Oreochromis niloticus: one gene and its partner. The protein of the gene in region 1 interacts with the protein of each later gene in a pairwise test. Links are inferred from orthologs where the notes say so. Each region holds a gene or a part of one and is shown on either strand. Other genes may lie near its edges. The genes, in order: naif1 and sox14.

Region 1 (11,154 bases):
TGAGCGCGCACGGGCAGAAATGTTGAGAGCGCAAGCAACACATTGCAAGCAAGCGCAAATGCAAAAACTGAGCGAGAGGGGCTGCTATTGTGTGTGTGTGTGTGTGTGTGTGTGTGTGTGTGTGTGTGTGTGTGTGTGTGTGTGGTTAATAGCAAACACTGAAATACATTTTTTGCACGCAGCAATGAGTTTTGTTCACTCAAATTTAGCTTTTCTTTGCTTGAAATAAATTTCTCCTCAAAATGCAACACTTGAACCTGCAAATGTTTTTTACGTGCGCTCAAATTTTTTTTTATGTGCGCTCAGAATAGTGGCACAAAAATAACGCCATACTAGCCCAACTTCAGTAACCCTACAAACGTCACTGCTGTTTAGTTTTCTGTCTTCATTTATGTTGGAAGTGATAGCAGAGCTGTACGTTTTAATTTTTTCAGAAATCTCTGTCAGAACATGCTATATCATGTTTAGGTGGAAACTAGCGAGTTAACTTCCTGTTAACTTCTAACTCTGTTAAATTTAATAAATTCTGTTTTCATGGATGCCTGGATGTTAAACTTAATTGCTACACCTGGTAAAGCAGCAACGCTGATGATTTTATTAAAGATGAAAGAGTTTAGACAGTTTTTAACTCTCAGTGATGTTGCAGTGTTCGTTTGACTTTGGGACCTGAAGCACACGGAGTTTTGGACCCAGATTACCCCGAGTCCGCGAGGCTCCTGACTACAGTAGCCGTAATGCTCCAGCAATCCATCAAGCGGTGCGGCTTTGTAGCTTACCAAAGTCATACTAAAACATTTTTTTTGACAGATTTTTGAGTGCCGTGTACCACATAAAATCGGTTCGAGGTCAGTTAGCACAACCAGAATTCATACATAAGATGCACCAGATTATACACTGCCAATTTTTGAGAAAATTGAAGGATTTTAAGTGCGCCTTATAGTGCGGAAAATACAGTAATTACCCACCACAAATTTTTACCACAGCTTTCGATCTCTCTAACATAATACAGACATGCTTTAGATATGAAAATCAGACCAGCCCCTTCTTCACTTCTGTTACTTCTGGAAGGTTTCAAAGTATTTTTAAACTCTGGAATTTAAAATAAGTGACTTTAAATGATGTTAAGATTTTAACTGAGAGTGAGCAAGATAGACCGGATTAGAAAATGAGTGCATCAGAGGGACAGTGCAGGATATATTGGACAAAGGATGATAATATGGAGCTGCCAGGCAGGAGGAGAAGAGGAAGACCACAAAGAAGATTCATGGATGAAGTGAAGGAGGGCATGTGGAGGGTTGGTGTAACAGAGGAGGATGCTGGGATAGGGTGAGATGGAGGCAGATGATCCACTGTGGTGAACCCTGAACAATTCAGTTGAAAACAGAAGGAGAAGAAGCCATCAAGGCTTTTAATAAATTTGAGATCGTATTTGAAAGGTAACATCTTAAAATTAATTAAAATAAAACTCTCAGACGGGCCACTGATAACCTGATGTGATCATTTGGAAAAAAATAAGATGAATATATCATCTTTGGTGTATAAACAAACAGACTGATGATTCTTTACTTTTTCCTTTGACCCATCAGGATGCTAACGGAGGGACGATGCCGACATATTTTGGTATCCTCACCATCTTGGCCTTCCATATCTTCCTTCAGGAGAAGGTACACTGTCAAAAGCAGCCAGAAAATGTTTATATGGAATTTATTCCTGACACATGTTATGTACTCATTTATCTGACTTACATGCAGGCAGTGGTGCAGGTCTTATTTACTATAAACACTCCTTGGATCTAAATGGCTCTTTGTCTTTGCTCAGGTGGATTTAGCTGTGATTGAAGTTGGTATTGGAGGAGCGTACGACAACACCAACATAATACGGTGAGATTTAAACTTAGCACAGCATAAGTCTTTAGCATAACATGCGAAATATCACAAACAATGGAAAAGCTTCCAAATCAAAACACAAACTAACGCCTTTTGGTGAAATGGTACCAAGTGGACACATTTAAAAAGCCTTTGTCATAAGAATCACTGGAGTCTGTCTGTCTTTATACAGTTTTTGCACCACTTTATGCAACATTACATCTTTTTTTTATTTTATTTTTTTTTACAGTATTTACATTTCTTATTTATATTAGATTTTTGTTGTTGTTGCTGTTTTTTCCAAACATAATTTGCTCAGTGTGACTCTTTGGGTACACAGACCATTTATTTGTGTTGTACAGAGAAATTTGATCAGTGTACAGTCTCGGTTGTCACTATCATGCCTGTGTGTTTCGACAGGAGGCCGTGGGTGTGTGGCATCTCGTTCCTGGACATAGACCACACTGATATTCTGGGAGACACCATCGAAAAGATCGCCTGGCACAAAGCGGGCATATTCAAGGTGTGTTCACAGTAGTGAGTGAGTCACTGATTCAGTCTGAATGCGTGCTTTTTTTAGTAATGCTGCATATTTGTGTTTGCAGCCTGGAGTCCCCGCCTTCACCATCAGACAGCCAGAGGGCGCCATGCCCGTGCTCGAGCAACGGGCCAAAGAGATCGGGGTAAGTCCACTTTCAGTCAGATCACACAGGAAAGTGAAGCTTCAACTTTCTATAACTCTCTCTAACCTGTTGTTGCAGTGTCCACTGTGGATGTGTCCACAGCTGGAGGACTACCAGGCGGAATGTAAACCTTTGCACCTGGGCCTTGCAGGACAGCACCAGCGCTCCAACGCCTCCCTCGCCCTCCAGCTGAGTCACACCTGGCTTCAGATGAGGGGTCTACCAGGTTGGGCTTATGTTTAAATATATGTCCAAAAATAAATTAATAAATATTACAAAATAATGCAAATAACAACTGCAAGCTTTGGTCAGTGTACCTTCAATGTACCGGCCCTCTCTGAACAGATAACAGCTTACCCTACATCACTGTTAACAACGGCAGGATGCTTCAGGCGACTGCCTTCACTCCCAGCCCCATGATGGTGAAAGGTGAGTTCCGCAGAGCCAATCAGACAACAACAGGACCCAGCCGAGGCCAGCTGAGGTAACAGTGAATGTGTTTACTCTCAGGGTTGGCAGATACCGAGTGGCCCGGCAGGAGCCAGACCCTAAAACGTGGAGCGGTCACCTACTTCCTGGATGGAGCTCACACCCTACACAGCATCCAGGCCTGTGCTCAGTGGTTTAGAGAGACTGCAGCTGAGCACGAGAGGAACGCCAGGTGAGCTAAAAAAAAAAAAAAGATAAGAAGAATTTTTAATTAAACGTTTAGCCCGGTCCCCGTTGTTAACAAAATGGACCAGAGAGTGTGTTCCAGTTGTTGGTGGATCTACAGGAATATTTTTACATCAAATGCTATGTGATGTGACACTTTGATGTGTTTGTGTTTTAGTGGCCCTGTGGCCAGAGTTTTACTGTTCAACGTTACAGGAGAGAGAGACGCAGCTGCTTTCCTTAAACTCCTGGTTGTGAGTAGTTTTTTGAACCTGAATGCATTTGTGGGTATGTTGGCATGGACGTGATTGTACTTATAGAGTTGTAAAACAATTTTTTTTTGCTATTTCTTGTTTCTTTCCAGCCGTGCCACTTTGACTTTGCTGTGTTCTGCCCATGCATCGCTGAAGTCGGCACTTCCAATAGTGAGTTCGCTGAATCTTTTTGCACCTGTACAGATCGTTCTATATAAAATCAGTTTGGACACTGGATCTGAGTGTCCAGAGGTGTGCAGGTGTAATCTAATTCTATCTGATGCACATTTTTAGTTTTTTCTTGTCTGGAGTTTGTGTTGGAGTCTGTTTCCAGATGGAGATTATCCAAGAAGAGCTGGTTTTATCCAGTGAATGATTCTGAACCAAAAACTTTGAAGTTATTCTTTCACCTTATTCTTCCTCCTCAGTTCAGGAGAAGAAGTTTGACATGTCTGTGGAGGAGATGCTGAGTCGCTGCTTGGACAATGAGAGGATCTGGCGCCTCCATAACCACCAGGATGACAACAGAGATAATCTGCTGCTGATAGAGGACAGCCTTCCTCGTTTACCTGAGAACAGAGGGGACACCTTGGTATTCCCGTGCATCTTCAGCGCCCTCCAGTGGATCACACATGGCAGGAACTCAGTGCTGTCTGACCAGGCCAAGACGACGCTCCCGGTTAAACCGAGCGTCACGGCCAAAGCTGCTTCTCTCCGCGAAGCTAGCGATATCCAGGTACTCATCACTGGAAGCCTTTACCTGGTGGGAGGAGCTCTCAAATACCTCGACCCAGCTTCCTCCAAGTGAACAGAAGTGTTTTGTATTTGCACAACTGCGAGAGATTTGCTTCCAGGGAAGAGGGTTGTTTGTGGTTTTAGTTTTTCCTGACTTATTTTCCTGAATTTGATTATTTTGTCTGTGACCAAGGTATGAAGGTGATTTTACTTTTTGGATGCTAATCATAAACAACGTTTGAGTATATTTTTGTAACAGTGGCCAAAACTCAAGTTTGTAAGTTTGACTGGATTGCAAATAAATGATCTTTTAATGATCTTTTTAAAATGTAAAGTTTTTGATCACAGACTGGATAACGTTGCCTTCAAAGCTTTTCTCTTATTTGCATCACTAAATTCATCGGCTTCCTCGTTGGTTCCAAGTCACAAAGTTTTGCAAGCTGGAGTCCATGGGTCATTTTGACCTTGAGTCTCAGTATTTGATCAGAGTAAACATGAAACTGGACTATATGCTGTGATACACGGACGTAAGATGACATTCTGCTGACCTGCAAACGTTTTCACTAACCCATCCAAATGATTGAATTCAGGTGTTCCAATTATTTCCGTGACCACAGGTGTATCAAGTCAAGCACCAAGGCATGCAGACTGCATGTTCTCTGCAGTGATGAGTCAAGCTTGTCTTTTTGGAAATCTGATGTATGAACCTAAAATACTGAGCTGGTTTAAAAAAAATGCTTACAAACCTAAACTGAAAAAAGCAATGGGAAAATGAAAAGGTGCCAAACAAGTGCAAAAAAAGAAAAAAAAATGGTTTAACACGCAAGGTTCCACATATGATGTGGGGTAATACTGAGGTACAAATAGTACATTAAAAGTAGTGATGGGGAAAAACAAAAAGGTTGAAGCTTCTAAACCAAAGGAACCATGACAAAACAGCACAATATAAAACAAGGTAAAAGTTTGAAAAAAAGAAATAAAGTACTGAAGTCCAAACTTTTCATGTAGTGCAGAAACAAATAGTTTTTTACCCTGAGACGTAAAAGCAGCTTCAGAGCTGCTTGATTTGTGTCGGTTTCATGATAATTTTTAAGTTCTTGTTTTGCCTCTTGTCCTCCTTTTTTCTTTATGCACTTCGTCTTCTACCTTCTTCTACCTTTTTTTGTATTTGCACTTTGTTTTCTTGCTTTATTTTGTCTTTCATGCCCCATTGACAGATAGTTTTTCCTTTTGCTTTCAAGCACCTTTCTTTGTTACGGTATTGGTGACAGTCCCCATGAGGGTCCCTGCACATCATGTGGGAGGCCAAGGTTCAATTCTCTGATAAGGCACTGTTACAATATTAACAAATATGAATTGACTCTTGAGGAAAAAAAAATCTCCAAAACACTCACATGGTATTTGTTGCCATGTAAACTACAAGTTTAAACACAAAAAGAGAAACATGGGGCACAAGACTCTGTTAGCTTTTTTACTCCTTTGTTCTTAGGGCAAACTGTTTCTGTTGTGTATTTGTCATTGTGTTTATCACACGTGGAAAACATTCTTTGTTCAAACGCAGATGGAAACAAAGTTGGTGGGTAGCTCTAGAACCAGCTCAGTTTTCAGTGGTTTCTTTCAGTCTGAAGAACAGATTTTGTTCCCCTGATCAGGAAGCAGAGTCCCATTGAACAGACTGAGTGAGCTTAACATATCAGAGCTATTTAACAAAGAAGAGATTAAAAAATGCGAGTTTCACCTACAACAATCTGAAGGAAAGAAGAATCCTCCAGACGGGAGAAAAACCATTATCGAAAAACTCTGACCAACCTCAAGCAAGACAGCTTCTCTGCATTTCACTGTCAAATCATTAAATCAAGACACTGAAAATTATATATTATATATTAATATAATTGTAATTCTGAGGCTTTTATTTCATGGTGTCTTGGAAAGCTGTAAATAATGAGAGGTTACAATAATTATAATATTGATTATTAGTAGTAGTATTCAGTTTAAAGACGTGTTTAGAATTGTTACCTTTTAGCAGCAGTATTAAAACCGTGCTGTTGATGAAGCAGTCATATCCCAGCTCACGTTTCCCCTTAAGTTTTCTTTTTTACGTTTTAAACGTTGTTTTCGCTCAAGTGTAACTCGGAAAAAAGCGAGACAACGGTAACATTTCTTCTTTTTTTACTTCGTCTTTTTGTTTGGCTCGTTGAGTTGATTGGCTTTTGTTTGGTCCAATAGTAAGAGAGAATACCACATGACCGCGAGATCCTCAACCAATGGAAGTCTCAGTGGGCGGGGTTCCGTCCTTCGTCTAACGTAAGCGTCGTTAGTAGGAAGAAGAAGCCGATTCTGGAAGCCATTACGTTGCGCACATTAACGGAGTAAATCCTACTATTTTTGCGTACAATACGCACAATTACCTGCCGTAAAGACGCTTTTCTGCACTTATGGCATCGGTGGCCAAAAAGAGAAAAATGAATTTCTCGGAGAGGGAGGTGGAAATTATAGTGGAAGAAATAGAGAAACAAAAGCACACACTGGTTAACCACTTCAATGCCGGAGTCACACACATGGCCAAGAATAACGCGTGGATGGACATCCTGAAAAAGGTGAACCAGGTCACCACCTGTCCGCGCGAGCTGCCCGAGGTGAAGAAGAAGTGGTCCGACATGAAGACGGAGGTCCGGCGGAAGGTGGCCCAAGCGCGGGCTGCCATCGAGGGAACGTCCGCGGACTGCACTCCAGTTCCCGTCATCCTCACCGCCATGCAGCAGCGGATCTGTAACCTGCTGGGAGAGGCCACCATCATCAGCCTACCTGCGGGAGACTCGGATGCTGAGATCTCCTTACCTGTAACCGTCAACGCCGCCGCCACCGTCACTCTGACGGAGGGTGAGTGCCGCACGGTGATGTACGGAAAGTGATGCGTGCCGAAAATAACTGTGCGTGTAACACTAAAAAAAACCCAAAGTGTGAAATTGTTATAAGTATTTTCTGAAACCACTGAAAATTCAGACCAAAATAGTGAATGTAAATGTTATTAAATGTAAACGTAAGCATTATAGTTTAGTTACATGTATGTTTCTACCTGAAAAGTAAATGTAAAGGTAAAAATTGGTCTAAATTAAATATTTTCAAGTATGGGTTAATATTGCATTCAAATTCAAAATACTACATGAAGTGCAAAATAACTAAAACTACGCATTAACGACACAGGCTCAATGTTTAATGTAAGTATTTTTAAATGTATTATTACATGTAAACAAAAAAGTAATAGCTTATTAAATTTACATTTAAAAGTTAATAGGTTAATTAAATCTTTTAAATAAATCTGTGAGATACATACTAAAAAGTAGGAATTACATTCAAACTGCATACAAACATAAATGTACTAAATTCTAAATGTTAAATCTCAATATTAAATGTAAATTTAAATTATTATCTATTATTATTAGATACTTTAAAACATAATATATAGTGTATAATGTATGATTATGAAAACATTAAAATATAAATGCAAAATGTTAAATCTAAATAATAAAGACAGACTGGATACTACCATAGTTAGCTATTGAAAGCCAAGTGGGCTGAAATCAACAGCAACATTTGACACCAAAAATGTAATAAATGTTAAATCCTAGTGATTACTTATTAATATTTTAATTAAATACTAATTTGGACTGTAAATATGAAATCTGATCATATGAACATAATAATACATAACAAAAATGTAACCCTAAATGTAACACTTAAATTTAGAGTTACATTTTTAAAATAAAAACTACATTGTAAAGATTTGCTGATAGTTTCATTGAGTCTTTAGCTTCTTCCTCTGGTTGTCTTTCAGCTCTTCCAGCCGGTGCCGGGACAGTCTGTGACAACTCAAAGCAGCTGCACGGTACGTTTCATTTCTTTGTAAATGTTCATACTTTACCCGTGACACTTGCAGAGCCATCAGGGTTTCTAATCACAACTCTACTGGACTGTGTGGTGTTGAACTGCTGCGCTTTAAAAGGTGCATTTTAATCACCACTAGGGATCAAATTTTAACTTTTACTATTAAATGCAAATTTTTTCTTTTTGTCTGGTTAAATGAATAAAGGTTACACTGATTCACTGCGCCGTCTTGTGATGGTGATTGGTATTACATGACAGTACAGCCAAGCCCTAATTCCGCTTCAGCTGATATTTCTTCAGCACAGTAGAAAGATGTTTCAGACATGCATTCAGAGCAATTGTTTCTTCATGTTCTTTGTAAGGCTTTTAATAAACATCTGAAACTGTTTCTTGTTTCCAGCTGAGACGACATACCACACTCTGGAGGATGGCGGCGTGGTGGAGTACTGCACCACCACTGAGGGCGATTCCGCCCCGACTGTGGTGGCCGCGGTCGAGGGTCCTGTGGAGATGCTGGCCTCGTCTTCTGCTTCCCCACCACCGCCTCAGAGTCAGGCCAAACCACAGGAGCTGAAGAGCCGCATTGCTCTGAACTCCGCCCGCCTGCTGCAGGAGCAGCGAGTCACCAACGTGCACATCCGCCAGATTGCCCAGCACCTGGAGGGCCAGAATGAGCTGCTGCAGATGATGCGACGCTCCCAGGAGGCGCAGGCGTTTGCCCAGGAGAGGCAAGCTCAGGCACTGGAGGGCACGCAGGCCGCACTGCTCGCGTTGGTGCAGATGCTCCGACCGGCTCTCAAAGACCTGAGGAAGTTTCTGCAGAGCGGGTCTGAGGCGGCGAACGCCAGTAGCTCTGTGGCGACGCCGGCGACTGGAGCAACCATTGATGGAGCGGCAATGGAGGAGCAGAGCAGGCCCAAAACACCTCCACTTCCTACACAACAGACTGAGGAGGCGCAGTAGACTCTGTGCGTGCTTGTGTGTGTGTGTGTGTGTGTGTGTGTGTGTGCGTACGTGCGTGAACCATGATTACAATTATGCCTTATGAAGAACATGTACAGAAGCAATGGAGAACTATTATTTTTATTTTTTGCCACGACTTCATGTTATTTAATACCCTGAATCTGGTTTTCTGATCTTTTTATGCAACTATTTCGTCAGCCTGATGGAAAATTAACGGGTTGGTTTTTTTAGACCGTGGCGAGCCAGGTTTGTCCGTGAGCTGCACTTTAACCAGCATGTGTTCAGACCTGAATAAAGTGAAAAAGAGGCCAAACTCTTTATGTCCTGTCACATCTCTCCTGTCCCAGGGGCAGATGTTCATGTTAAACATGGTAAAAGAAGTCAGTGTGTGAACCAATGATCCCCATGAGTCAAAAGTTGTAAACACTTATTTTCACACAGTTTTTTCTACTGTTAGATCTGTATCATGTCATAGAGAGCAGGCTTTCTATAAAATACTTGAAACACGTCCAAAGTTCCACTCATCTCTTGGTATCGTCTTCTTGTGCAGCTCTAAATTGTTTTCGGAGCTTCCATCCGCTGCAGTGCTCTTATGTTCCTCCTGTACTGTTACTCTACAGTGTGTGATGGATCTTGTCCAGTGCGTCCAAATGTTTGAGGGAGGTGATCGTGATGGCGTGCACCACAGTTCATTTCCTCTGATTGTTCACTATCAGATGCCTCAGAGGACTTCACAGCAGACCTCAGCAATGATGGTCTCACACTGGGGGATGATTTCATGGTGCAAAACTCGTTGAATGTTCAATAAAATGACAAGCTCTTGAAGGCGTGCCTTCAGGCTGGAAAACTGGATTCTGGGTGGATGTTTCGATATATACTAAATAAAGCTAACTATGAAACATAAATCATGAAGCCTACTCTAAAAAAGCCAACAGTTTGAAAGATGGAAATGGAAATAAACAGAGCAGGATGTTTTTTTCTGCTGGCTGTAGTGCTTACAACCAGCCAGCAGAGGTCAGTGTAAGTCAGAGTTTCATTACAGGTGTGTGAGCAGTGACGTTTGAGGTCCTGAGAGGGTGAAAGGAAGGAAATCCGTCTTTTAGTATCAGTATCAGATTAACTTTCACAAATGAGGACACTGTAGTACTGCAGGGTGTACTGGAGTTTAATTTGATGTTTTCATTTAAAAACCCTTAACAAATCAGTTATTCCTGAAATAATTAAAGTATTATTACTTTATAGTTCATCATTTCTACTTAGGGTTGTTTGCTGAACCTCTTTTTCCTTTTCCAGTCATGTGACCTGTCCCTAACAAAGAGAGGTATCTAAAAAAGCCCAGTAAAGCACATTTTACTATGAGTATTCCTGAGTTTAGAGCAAACATCGGCAATAGCTCCTCGACCCTGTTGGCTGCTGACACCATAAGATGAGATCCATTGATGTTAGTTCCTGATATTTATCAGTTTTTAATCGATTTTTTTAAGACGGCGTCTTCGTTTCCTGAAGCAAAGAGGGCACGAGGCAAACCACAGTTTTGTATTTAGTTTAATTAGTTTCTGTGTTAGTATTATTGCATGGGGGGCATATGTCAGAGGGAAGATTTGGGAAAGTTGATACAGGTATTACAATAAAAACAGTTTTTAAAGCAGTGACTCGCAGTCTTGCATCCAGAGTCTCAGTAAACACGTCCATCAACGTCTCATCAGGGACGTTTTTATCAAACTACTGATGTACTAAAACTACTATATTAATAGTTTACTTTTTTCAAAGGTGTAGTTTTTATTTTTATTTTAGTCAAAATGTTTTTTCACATCTGGTTATAATAACCTTGCTTATTACATAGCCAAATGGACGGTGTTTTCTGCGTTAAACCTGGTCACAAAGTTGTTAACTTTTATAAAGCTTTAAATCTTTATATGTCTAAATGTACTTGTCTAAATCAAACCTAGCTGTTTATTAAAAGTGCAAACACATTTTTCCTTTAAATATAACACTTATGACATATAGGAAAAAAATGGGAGTTGGGCTCTGAACCAGCTGCATGTGACACCCCTAACAACGCAAGCTTTGCCCCTGATGTCATTTAAACAGGTGAGTTTTTAATAAATTCATCCC
Region 2 (11,300 bases), on another chromosome or scaffold:
CGGTGTTTCCCCTCCTCATTGACTTTTATCACCAAATGAAGCATATAAATGACCTGAAAGCGCTGGCTGTCGCGTTAAATTAAATAAAATAAAGAACAATTATCCTCTCCTTTTTCCTCTGATCTCGCGCTGAAAAGGAGTCCTGGAGAGATAAGGCAGATTGAATTCTCTCTGTTGTGCTCCAATAAAAACGTCAAGGGGGGAAGAGAGATTTAAACACACACACACACACACCCGCACACACACACACACACCCTTTCCCCCTATAATTCCAAATCATAATTTCCCTCCCATTATACCTCTCACATGCCGTTTATCGTTATTTATTTCAGGGCGTTGTAACCGCACTCAATTTCCGTGACTAAGTTGGATAATTACAGGTAGTGAGTGAATCCTGTGATGTAAAACTTAAAAATAAAAGAGACTGCAAACAATACGGTCTTAAATATATTTTTAAAATGAATTATATATATATATATACACACATATGCATACAGACGGGCCTTTATCCAAGTCCGCAGCTACTCCTGAAAGTAATTATAATTGTCTCATTTCAAAGTTGAATTAGAACGCTTTAGGGTTTTGATGTAAAACTTCACATTCGGTTCAATGAAGTATCACCCTAATTTACAGCTCCAGATAAGAAGCAAGTCTGTCATAAAAATCTGCCCCCCTCTCCTCCTTTCCCCTGCCCTCCCTCCTCTTCCTCCCCAGGATGGAATTGCACCTTGGGCAATAGTGCAGAATGGTAACTTCTCCCCACATATGTTCCTGGCAGATAAGTAAACAATTTGGATGTGGAATGATTTTTTTTAATTAATACTACAGTGTTAATATGGGCAAGCTACACACACTCACACACGTGCGCGCGCGCGGTACGCAAATCCATCAGTCTCCATTAAGAAGAATAGAAGAAGAAACAGACCCCCTCGCACCCCGCGCTGGGTCCAAGTTTCCTTTCATTCCTGCTTGGTTTTTTTGGGGCGAGTTGTAAAGCTGTGCTCACTCTCTGTTGTCTTAATGAGAGCCGGGGCCTTTTTCATTCACAGGTCGCTGCAGGTTTAAACACGTGCGGATGACTCGGCGCTGATAGAGGTTTTAACGAAGTTTTTGGCTGGAGCAGAAATCGCACACGCAGAGATTTTTTTAAACCGCATCACAGCCGAGTGGTAGGCTGCTGTACAACCAACCAAAAAGTCGCAGATTGGGTGAAAAAAGAGAGAGAGAGAGAGAGAAAAAATCAGTATTCTCCATTAGTTAAACCTATAATTAAGTAGCTTCTTGAAGTGATTAAGCAGTCAGACGAGTCGGACGGGCGGAATCCCTCCAGGGAGGCCTCTCCTGAACTGTCAAACATCAAAAACCGGTTCATCCCGGTGTCACAAACACACCTTCATCATGCTGCACCGCCGAACATGCCTGAACCCTGCTTCTGCAACACGAAGCAGAGCAATCATCATAATAAAAAAATTTTTAAAAAAAGAAAGAAAGAAAGAAAGAAAGAAAAAGAAGCAGTTAAGGAATAAAGCTTTGTGGAATGATCAAAGGGCGTGGAACTGACAGCTTTAACTACCGCACAAGGGAGAGGGGATCGATGAGGGAAGAGAGGATTGATTTGTTGTTATTGTTCTAATGTGCAGCCTATCAACAGTATTGATTAGCTCGGGTGTATTTTTTATCTTTAAAAAGATTAAAGTATTTTCATAATTTATAACTTTAATTTTGTATATTTATTTTAATTTGAATTTTATAATAACTATTAGTTTGTGATCATTACACCTTTTACATCTATTTAATCGAGCTTTTATTTTGGCGGTTTAAACGCCCCCGCAACACGTGCACATTATAACGCTATCTCTGTGGTCTCAATAACCTACAAATACAGGAAATTGATCTGGTTGAAGACAGATTGTCTTTATTGAAAATGTCTTTGCTCGGCACTTGAACAAAGAGCAGGAGGTATCAACCTTCTAGATACATTATCCTTTCCATAACATGACAGGTTTTAAATTACCATCTTAGATAGAAAATACACATAGAACTCCTTGAATTCAAATAGAAGTTATCCTTAAAAAACAAAAAACAAACTAAAATGACGCGTGTGACTATATTAGCACTGAACCACAGGTAAAAATGCAAAATGAAACATCTGGATGTAAATGAATTTTTTTTTTCCTCATTTGTGTCTTCTTAAATAGACCGTATAGTTTTATGTGCCAGTTTTCTTTTTTCTTTCCTCTTTTTTGTGATAAATATAAACAATATAACCCGTATATAATCCAGCCTACATGTCCTGATTTTGACCCTATGTCCAGAACATCGTCATAAAATTGCCAAAATGTGGACTCCTTAGGCTGATACAGGAAATATGAACGCTAATTGTGCAAGCCAATTTTTCAAAATAAAAGTGAAGCCTAGCAATAATCAACACAAATCAGCATATCAGCATTGAAATGTACACAATAAATAAAGTTAAAGGCCTCCTTTTCTGGTTGCCATAAACGTTATAACATTTACATTTCTTACAGTTCACAGGGCTCCGTCCTTTACACCAAACTCCAGCTCCTTTGCTCAGGCAGGAACTTGGTGGATTTCTGCAAAAGTTTGTTTGTTTTTTCCTCTTTTTTGTGCCATAACAAGTCCAAGGCAGTTAACACTGTTCATGCCTTTTTAATAGGGCGCGCTGTCCATAATATATTTACATGCATTTCAGTATTCAAGTGAATTAAAAAGAGCAAATGAGTCTTGAGGGTTACATGGCAGTGGCATGTGCGGATGAATATGGGTCTATCCCAGTCTTGGTCATACCTGGAAAAAGTATGTAGGCCACCGGGGGCTGTAAACTTGATGCTGACCAGGCTGTGCAGTTACACGGGACGACATAGCCTGGGTTTGTGGGCGACGGGTGGGTGTGGGTGTGCTGACTGGGGCACCCAAGGGTGCCGAACGCGCCGTTTTGGTATCCCAGTGAGGATGCGTACGGCAAAGTGCTGGTGCTCAACGTGTGGGGCATCTCGGTCATCTTCTGGATGGCGCTGGAGCTGAACTGACTTGGGTCGAGGAAGGAGTACGGGGCGGACGTCGGCGGCAGAAACGCTCTGGCTTTCTCTGAAGAGCCCAAAAGAGAGTCCGCGGCCGACACGGGAAGTCCCTTCAAGTGATCGGTGTCCCCGAGGTAAGGCAGCGGGAAAACGTAACGGTCCTTCTTGAGCAGGTTTTTGGGTTTGCGCCTGGGTCTGTACTTGTAGTCAGGGTGCTCCTTCATGTGCTGAGCCCGCAGCCTCTTGGCCTCATCGATGTAAGGTCTCTTCTCAGACTCTGACAGCAGCTTCCACTCAGCGCCCAGTCTTTTGCTGATCTCCGAGTTGTGCATTTTGGGATTATCCTGTGCCATTTTCCTCCTCTGGCCCCGGGACCAAACCATGAACGCGTTCATGGGTCTCTTGATATGATCAGCAGGCTTTGACATCTTAAGACTATACTTTTATCCCCAATGTTAATAACGAGGAAAAGTTCTGATCTGAAAGAAGGCAAACTATTCACCTGTCTAGATGCCCGATACCAGTCATGCCCCGCCTGGGATCTTCAGATTCTGGAAAACAAAATCAAAAGAAAAGAAAAGAAAAATCCAGCGCCCGGTGCGTTTTCCCCGAGTTTGAACACTGGTGCGCCTTCGTTTAAGTCCAGTAACAACTCTGTCAGACCTGCGCCAGGCAATACGGGAAAAAACACATGCGAGACGCACACACGTAAAAAAAAATCCACAAAGGTGAAAGCGATGTTCCGCAGTCAGTTTGCTGGAGTCGTAAAAGTATTAGGTGTTATTTTTTTTTTCTGCCACACACGCGCGCGCTCTCTCTCTCTGAGGTTTGTCGTCAAGCACCTGGCTTGGAAATGAGCGGAAGAGCGTGAATACGAGCCAAAAGCGGTGAAGTTCAAAGGCTGGGCTGGTTTGGTTTCTGCACGCAATCTGACATAATCTGCAGGGCGTTCACTCACCAACCTGAGCGCCCAATCAGCACGGAGAGCGGCTATTATAATACCTTCACGAAAAAATATGTACATTACAACATAAACAAAGAGCGGGAGGTAGTAGTAGAAGAAGAAGAAGAAAAAAAATAAGGAAAGGGGTGTATGTGTGTGTGGTGTGTGTGGAGGGGGGTAATACCCAGGATCCCTCCCCTATTCCATTTAATGTAATGAATCGCAACAAACATGGACCTTCAACCTCTTTTCCAGTTAAAACCTGACTTCAATCCAGAGAGGTGACTATACCGTGCAACCAATTTACTGTACAGCTTTACGCACAGACGCCGGGGAGCACTTTGGACGTAAAGTCCCCCCCAAAATGCACGCATATATGTGGGCCTTTGATACAGCGGAGCCCGGTTTTATTCGCATTTTCACATCATAAAATAAAATAAATAACATTAAAAATAGTAATTATAATAATAAAAGCACGACAGTTCATTTGCAACCGATAGGTCTTCCTCTCTTGCTCGAGGACACTTCAGCCGGTTTTAACCTCTGTTATCCCGCTGCTGGTGGGGTAGCTGGGGGGTGTGGACGGGGTCACAAAAACCTCTTACAAGTCCATTTTTTTTGTTAGCATTCCCTTAAACCACCTAACTCCCACGAGCACGCACATATGATAATACACACGGGCGCGCACACGATTTGGGCCCACGCGTGCCAATGTGTAAAACTAAAACTAGGCATCGGCAGAATTACCATCACCGAGGAAATATTACATATAACAATAACTACAAACGTTAAGAGGAGCCATCATTGTGCGTCTGTAATTGTTGCATTAGTTCACATCGATTTGACAGATTTTTTTTTTTTTTAAAGAGGCGCAGAGTGATCGTTTTAAAATGCAAATTTCAACCAGGACCACTGCCTAATAGCCCTCGGGCTAATGTGCTTGATATATGATACTTTCAGCTGTGATTATTAAACGAAAGGCAGACAGATGATTTTTTTCTACCCCCTCTACACACACCGTCAAATGCTGTAAGTGGAGGTACAACCCCAGTTAGTTACACTGCTAAGCAGATTTATTTAAGGTTGTCTTTGGCCTCCATCTCTCTCTCTCTCTCTCTCTCTGTACATATGTGTATTTTGCGGGCTGCGTATTATCATCTCATCTTCCTCTCTTCTTTGTGTGGCTTAATGTAAACAGATACTCTAAAGATGGTTTTCGGTTCTTTAACATGTCATCACATCACACTCACAAGCGTGTTTCTAATACAGAATGACCCGTCTAAAAAAAAACGCCGATTTTTGCACACGTCCGCGGGCTATAAATTTACTGTCGTGACCCAAACCTCATTTTATTTCGAGAACCAAAATAAAGCAAAGCGTTGTTCGTTTTTCTGTCTGATATTCCCACATTTCATCCCCATCTCTGTCTCTTTCTCACGCTCTCTCTCCGCTCCCTGTCTCCTCGCACACGCATGCGTCAATCGGCAGCTTGGAACAAGAAGATTTCCATCACATCTGTCTTTACAAAAAAACAAAAAAAACAAAAAAAACTTGAAAATATCGTCTAAAATATGATCGTTTTGGGAGAGAGATCCTCCTCACCCCGACCCAGAGAACAATCAGTTGAAGACGTCTCCGACTTTTTTTTCCTTCCCCCCTCCCAGTACATCCGCGATGGCAGGATGGCAGGAAAAAAGGGGGGAAAGAGGGAGGAAAGAGGGAGAAACAGCTCCTACACAATCCTCGCAATCGACAGGCTATATGATGCTCATCTGCAACCGCGAGGTAGTATGCCGCATGTTTGCACTGTATATTTCGGCTTGCATTGAAGTTTTAAATTGTGCTATGCTATCTATCGCAGAACAGCGCATGCAATTTAACATGTAGGCTGCTGCTGCTGCTGCATGCCCACACCGGCTTCATTTTATGATCAATGAATTAGATAAGAGGAAATTATTTTAGGGGCTGAGCCTCCTATACTCACGAGGGAGAAGTCGGCTATGTTTCTTATTCAAAAACTGATTGTCTAATAAATGCACGCCTGAAAGTTCCCTCGACAATTTACCGGGATAATGAGAAATGCAATAGGGTTTGATTCGTCAAGGACTCAGATGATGATTATTATTCCCATCTTTAGTTTTATTACATGCAGCCGCGGTACATTTTTGCTCTGAGATAATAATAAAAAATGCAATAAAGAAATTTTGGGGTTTGGGTTTTACACCTGAATGTAAAAAGATGTCCAAACCTAAGTTATTTGGAAATGCCAAAAGATCTGATAACAACATATAAACGGAATTTTAAAAAGTGGGGGAAAATGCCTTTAACGGGCTATATTTGGTTTAGAAATGACTCCCAAAATTAAACACACTATCAGTACTATACCCTGAAAATCAGCCTATTGGGCAAGTTTAATGTAGGCTTTTATGGAAATAGAATAAAATTAAAACTTTTAGTCTAATAAATTCAAATCACACACAAACATAGAGGAGCGCGTGAGACAAACACAGCACACATGCGTGCGCACACACACAAACTGATCTCAGGACACATGTCCATCCATCTCGCCTTAAAAAGTGAATGGGGAGCGGCCTGACACACGGAGAGCCTATTAGCCAACTTGGGTTCCCGTGGAGAGCATTGAGGTAAGCTCCCCTACCGTAACTGTCCATGGTGCTGAAGCGGTAAGAGGTTTTCTTTACTGCACACTTGCGTCCTCCCCTCAAAAACTCTTAAAAGCTAGGGTTGACATTTCAATGCCTTTTATTGTATTTCCATCCTATTTAGTGATGGTTCTCTGTAAAAATAAAATATTAGAAACCGAGACAACTCACATGGGTCTACAACTTTCCTAACTTTTTTCCTTCTTCCCAGCAGAATGTTTTTAAGCCTATTTTTTTCCACAGTGTGGAAGAACTACTGCTGAACCATATTTGGAACTAATAAATTGTGGCAACATAAATTATCTTAGGCACACAAACATTTTTATGTTGTCAGAATATGTCTGCGTGTCCTGTACTTTAGCATCAGTGCAGGATTAAGTCTAACTCGGCCAGTGCATGTTGGATACAGCATGTATTACAGCATCATCTATTATGTTATTATATTGAATCATTGCTCTCAAGATGGTGGTGACGATCTGCTAATATTAAAGTAGAACCATACAGTACACAGTACCAGCAAATAGACAGTGCCATTTACAGTTTTGCTTCAATATTTATTCAGTAGTTTGCACAGATAATAGTGAGCTCTCTTTGAAAGTTGTTCTTTCGCTTTAATTTTGCAGAACCTTATATGCACACATCTCTACGAAATGTTCAGTCTGAATGTAAAAGTATTTCATAGTTAAAGCAGAATGTCTTTTTAACCATGTATAGAGAAAATGTTCTATCAGCTTCATTTATAGCCTCATATACTGAAAACTGAGTGTTCATGGTCAAGCTGTTTGTCCCCAGCAATGGCACAAAAAATGTATATTCAGACTTTGGCTGTTGATAATTATTCATGCAATGTTAAACACACAAAAAGGGCTTTCTTTCACTCATATAGAAGCAATTCTAAAACTCAAATTCTGCATACAATAATGCAGATCTTTTTACATTATCCCATTACAAGTCCCATTCACTAACACTGAGAAGCAATCAAAACAGCAATGAGCCGCATTTGAGATGTATTGCCAACATGTATTACTAAGCTCAATATATATCTTTGTGGTGAAATTATTTCTCAGGAAGATAGAGAAATCAGACTTAAATAAAATTCGAAATGACTGAACTTAAGCTGCTCTCTCTTTTATTCTCCAACACTGGATAATACAGAACGGAGCTGGAAAAAAAATTAACAGAGGTTCAAGGCATCAGGTAATAATGAAAGGATAGGGCCAATACTTCAAAGACCAAGAGGTCCACATCACACAATTATACAATACAATTAGGATTAAAGGGGCAAAACAGAGATAACAGGAGATAGGGATAAATTATCACAAAAGGAAAGATGTGACTCTCTCCTGACCTTCATTAAGAGAAAAAAAACTCATTTAGAGCTGGCCTTCCTTGCAGGGGGATTTCAGCCTTTCACATGAGACTGTGACTCAGTAGATAAGATTTAACCAGCATAAATGAGAATCTGAACTGCTACCAAACAATAACATAAGATGCATATTCAGAAAAAAAATTCAATAAGTAGTGATGCATATGTATATACAATTTAAACAACAAATACATCCATTTCAGAGCAGGGTTAACTGGTGTTATGCAAACCTTATCATTTTGACGCTAAACAATTTATTTAATAATTTAAAATATTTATTCTCAAGTTTTTCAATAAGCTGACACGTTGACACTGCTGACTGTTAACGTGGTGTTCCAGGGTTTTCTAAGAGCTTGACCACATCCAGAATACAAGTCTATGCGGAGTTCAGGTAAAACCAAAAGACGCTCAACCTTAGACATCTTCGTCACTCAGATCAGGTTAACTGATAAGTATGTTTACTGGATATGCCAAACCTACCAGGTTAACCCTGAAATGGTCACATGATTCCTGAGGGTACTAAAAAACATATCCAGAGTCAGTGGGTAGAACTAACCAAAAGAGCTTTGTTTGGGAATCTGCCATGTTGCAAGATGCCATAGTTATTCAGCATGTCTTCAGTAGTATCACGGAACCTCTGACGCACAACGCTCATATTGTTTTTTAGAATTTCTATCCAGGTCCAGATGTTTTTCTTGTCATTTCAAAACAATAGAGGATAGAAATAAAATAGAAATTGTACACTACCGACCTGCTTGAAGGTACTAAAGTTATAAGGACAGGAGTACTGACTCTAGAGTGAAAATTACCCTGTGCTTATATGTGGACTGATGATAAGAACCTAGCCTTCAGACAAAGACCCAAATAAATCAGTTAATGGTAGCCAGTTGACCAACTCAACAGTATTCAAGAATTAAAGAACTGATCCGAGTTCTCACTTGTTAAACAACTCTACAAGGGCCTAGAGTCAGAGCTTTAGTCTTTCAACATGCCCCCTCACCTCACCCTCACCTTTCCGTTCTGTTCAGCAACTATAGTGTCCAGACATCATCAGTCTCTGCCCGATGGCCAAGCATCTCCACTGATATTCATGATCATCATTTCCTTGAAATCTGCTTACTTTGCCTGGTACTGTGATCGTCTTCTTGCCAATGATGGAGTTCAACTTAAAGTGCACACAGAAAATGACTAACAGCAACACAGTGACCAGACTATGGAATGTCAATGAAATTTGCAACTTATAGAAATGTCTGAGTTACACTAACCTTCAGGTGAGTGATTAAAAGAAACAATCAGTGGAGGCAAAGAATACCGCTGACTAACATGTGAGGTGAATAGAAATATACAAGAGAATTGCTTACGGAAATGAGTCCTGTAAACCATTGACCTGACCTTCCTGCAATGGGCAATGAGCAACAATAAAATACATGTATATAGAAATTGTGATAGAAGCAGGCTTTTACAATCACAACTTCTAAATTCTTGATAATCTCCAGTACATACAGTTCTCCTACGACATGTTTTTGACTGTGAGGTTAGATCTTCTACCATCTATCCTCACTTCTGCACATATCAGACAAATCACCAAGGGAATTTCTTTTGTGTTCCCTGGGTTACCAAACGACTTCTAAGGACTTGGGAGTGAGTTTATGGGATCATGTCTGCTGATCCTTTCTTTCAGATGGTGGATGCAGATGTCACAACAGACTTGTACTGGATTCATCATGAGGAAACTACGGATATCAAACTGCATGTGAAAAACAGACCCGTCACAACTGTACCATGTCTAGAATTCTTCCTTTTGACCCAGTAAGCCCTGATTTTTTATTTACAATTTAGATTTCTACAAAAAAACATGACCAAATGCCACAACTTTATATTGATAAGAGATACCTGGAATAAAGTTTTAATACAACAAATAATCTTTTCTCCATCACCAGGATAAAGAGTTTTAAAAATCAAAACAAAGCAAAAGTCCAAGTATAGATACCTTAATTGTGGATCTTAAGAAACTGATATTCAGCTTTAGGACCATGTATAAAATACCATTACAAAATATCCACCGCCAAAGTCCTCATCTGTCCTTCCCAATCTTTTGGTAACAGGTGCAGAACTTCAGAAAGAAAAAAAACTTCATCCTACGATACCAGAAAAACCTTCACCATAAAATGAAGATGGAGTTCTTCATAGCTCTGACATAGCTTTCATTCCGTGTTGAGGCCCAGTGAGCTTGCATCATTTCACATTCAGTTGTTCACTTATTACTTCTATATTGGAAAAAAAAATCAGATATGAGAAAGCTTTACTTTGCTAATGCCAAGCAAAGCTTGAGGTAAAATTAATTACTAAATACCAACATGGTTAACAAGATGATGATGTACAGAACTCATTTCTGACAAGAGCTCCCAAATCACAGCTTATTTTAGTCACACGACGACATTTTGTATTTGGGGACGTTTTCAAATTAACAGCTGCTTTACAACCTTTTAAGTAAAATATTCGCGATAACACCTCGGACACATTTATTACCTCTCATTATAGCCAGGAGCCATATCTCATCAGTGGATGTAATTTGTCTGTTGGAGTGCATGCCCAGCATTGGCATTCAGGCTCTGTCAGACCTTTTTAATTATTGAAAAAATGCTTTTTAATATGGCACTTTATGAAATATAATGTTTTGATTAATTGGATTTGCCGGTTATAATGTAGACTGCCAGGGGTAAAGCAAAGGCAAGCGAGCACATTTTGCTGGTCGACTGTGCTGTAAAAGTGTCTGGCTCAACATATAAAGAGTTAAGTAAAGGCCAGATCATCCTTTACATCCTATAGCCATATTCATAGATTCCTGTTCACCTAGGGCCTGTCTTTTTTATCTTTCACCACAGGGCCACCACAGGACCGATCTGGGACCTGAACCTCAAGATGTGCTGTAAGGCTACTGGAAGTCAGGTGATGAATTCAAAACTGAAATTAAAAATTAATATTCCACGCCGTGACTCTTTAACACCACCAAATTCTACATATCAATCAGCCTCTGCTGGTGCGTTTTCTCTCTGCTTTGTTTACAGACTTTTGCATCCTGACTTATGATTCCAAAAAGGCTTTATTGGGGGGAAGAAAAGCACAGCCAGTAAGCTGCACTGTAGGTAATGTAACATGAAAAAAATCAAATGTGCAATAACGTAGAAGCGACAGCTGAAGAATCCAAAAGCTTTTGAAGCCAGGAAGAGTGACAGAGCGAGAGAGTAATACAATTCTCCAAATCTGTATCAGTGGATGATTAATTA

What was found.
Region 2: the proteins of naif1 (region 1) and sox14 interact in binary tests that used the Homo sapiens proteins (3 or more experiments, as listed by UniProt). The two-hybrid records come from large-scale screens. The link is inferred for Oreochromis niloticus from reciprocal best matches to the Homo sapiens genes NAIF1 and SOX14.

Annotation. Positions count from the first base shown.
Region 1 is NC_031972.2:34,730,292-34,741,445, forward strand, and holds naif1 (nuclear apoptosis-inducing factor 1), read left to right. Parts: upstream 1-6,225; 5' UTR 6,226-6,626; coding exon 6,627-7,071; intron 7,072-8,026; coding exon 8,027-8,077; intron 8,078-8,476; coding exon 8,477-9,039; 3' UTR 9,040-9,044; exon of another isoform or gene 9,045-9,659; 3' UTR 9,660-9,974; downstream 9,975-11,154. Other genes in the region: folylpolyglutamate synthase, mitochondrial, read left to right, coding at 1,587-1,664, 1,819-1,880, 2,286-2,388, 2,471-2,774, 2,894-2,977, 3,059-3,209, 3,381-3,456, 3,567-3,627 and 1 more. UniProt on the Homo sapiens protein: Induces apoptosis.
Region 2 is NC_031986.2:32,083,231-32,094,530, forward strand, and holds sox14 (transcription factor Sox-14), read right to left. Parts: upstream 4,054-11,300; 5' UTR 3,470-4,053; coding exon 2,753-3,469; 3' UTR 1,894-2,752; downstream 1-1,893. UniProt on the Homo sapiens protein: Acts as a negative regulator of transcription.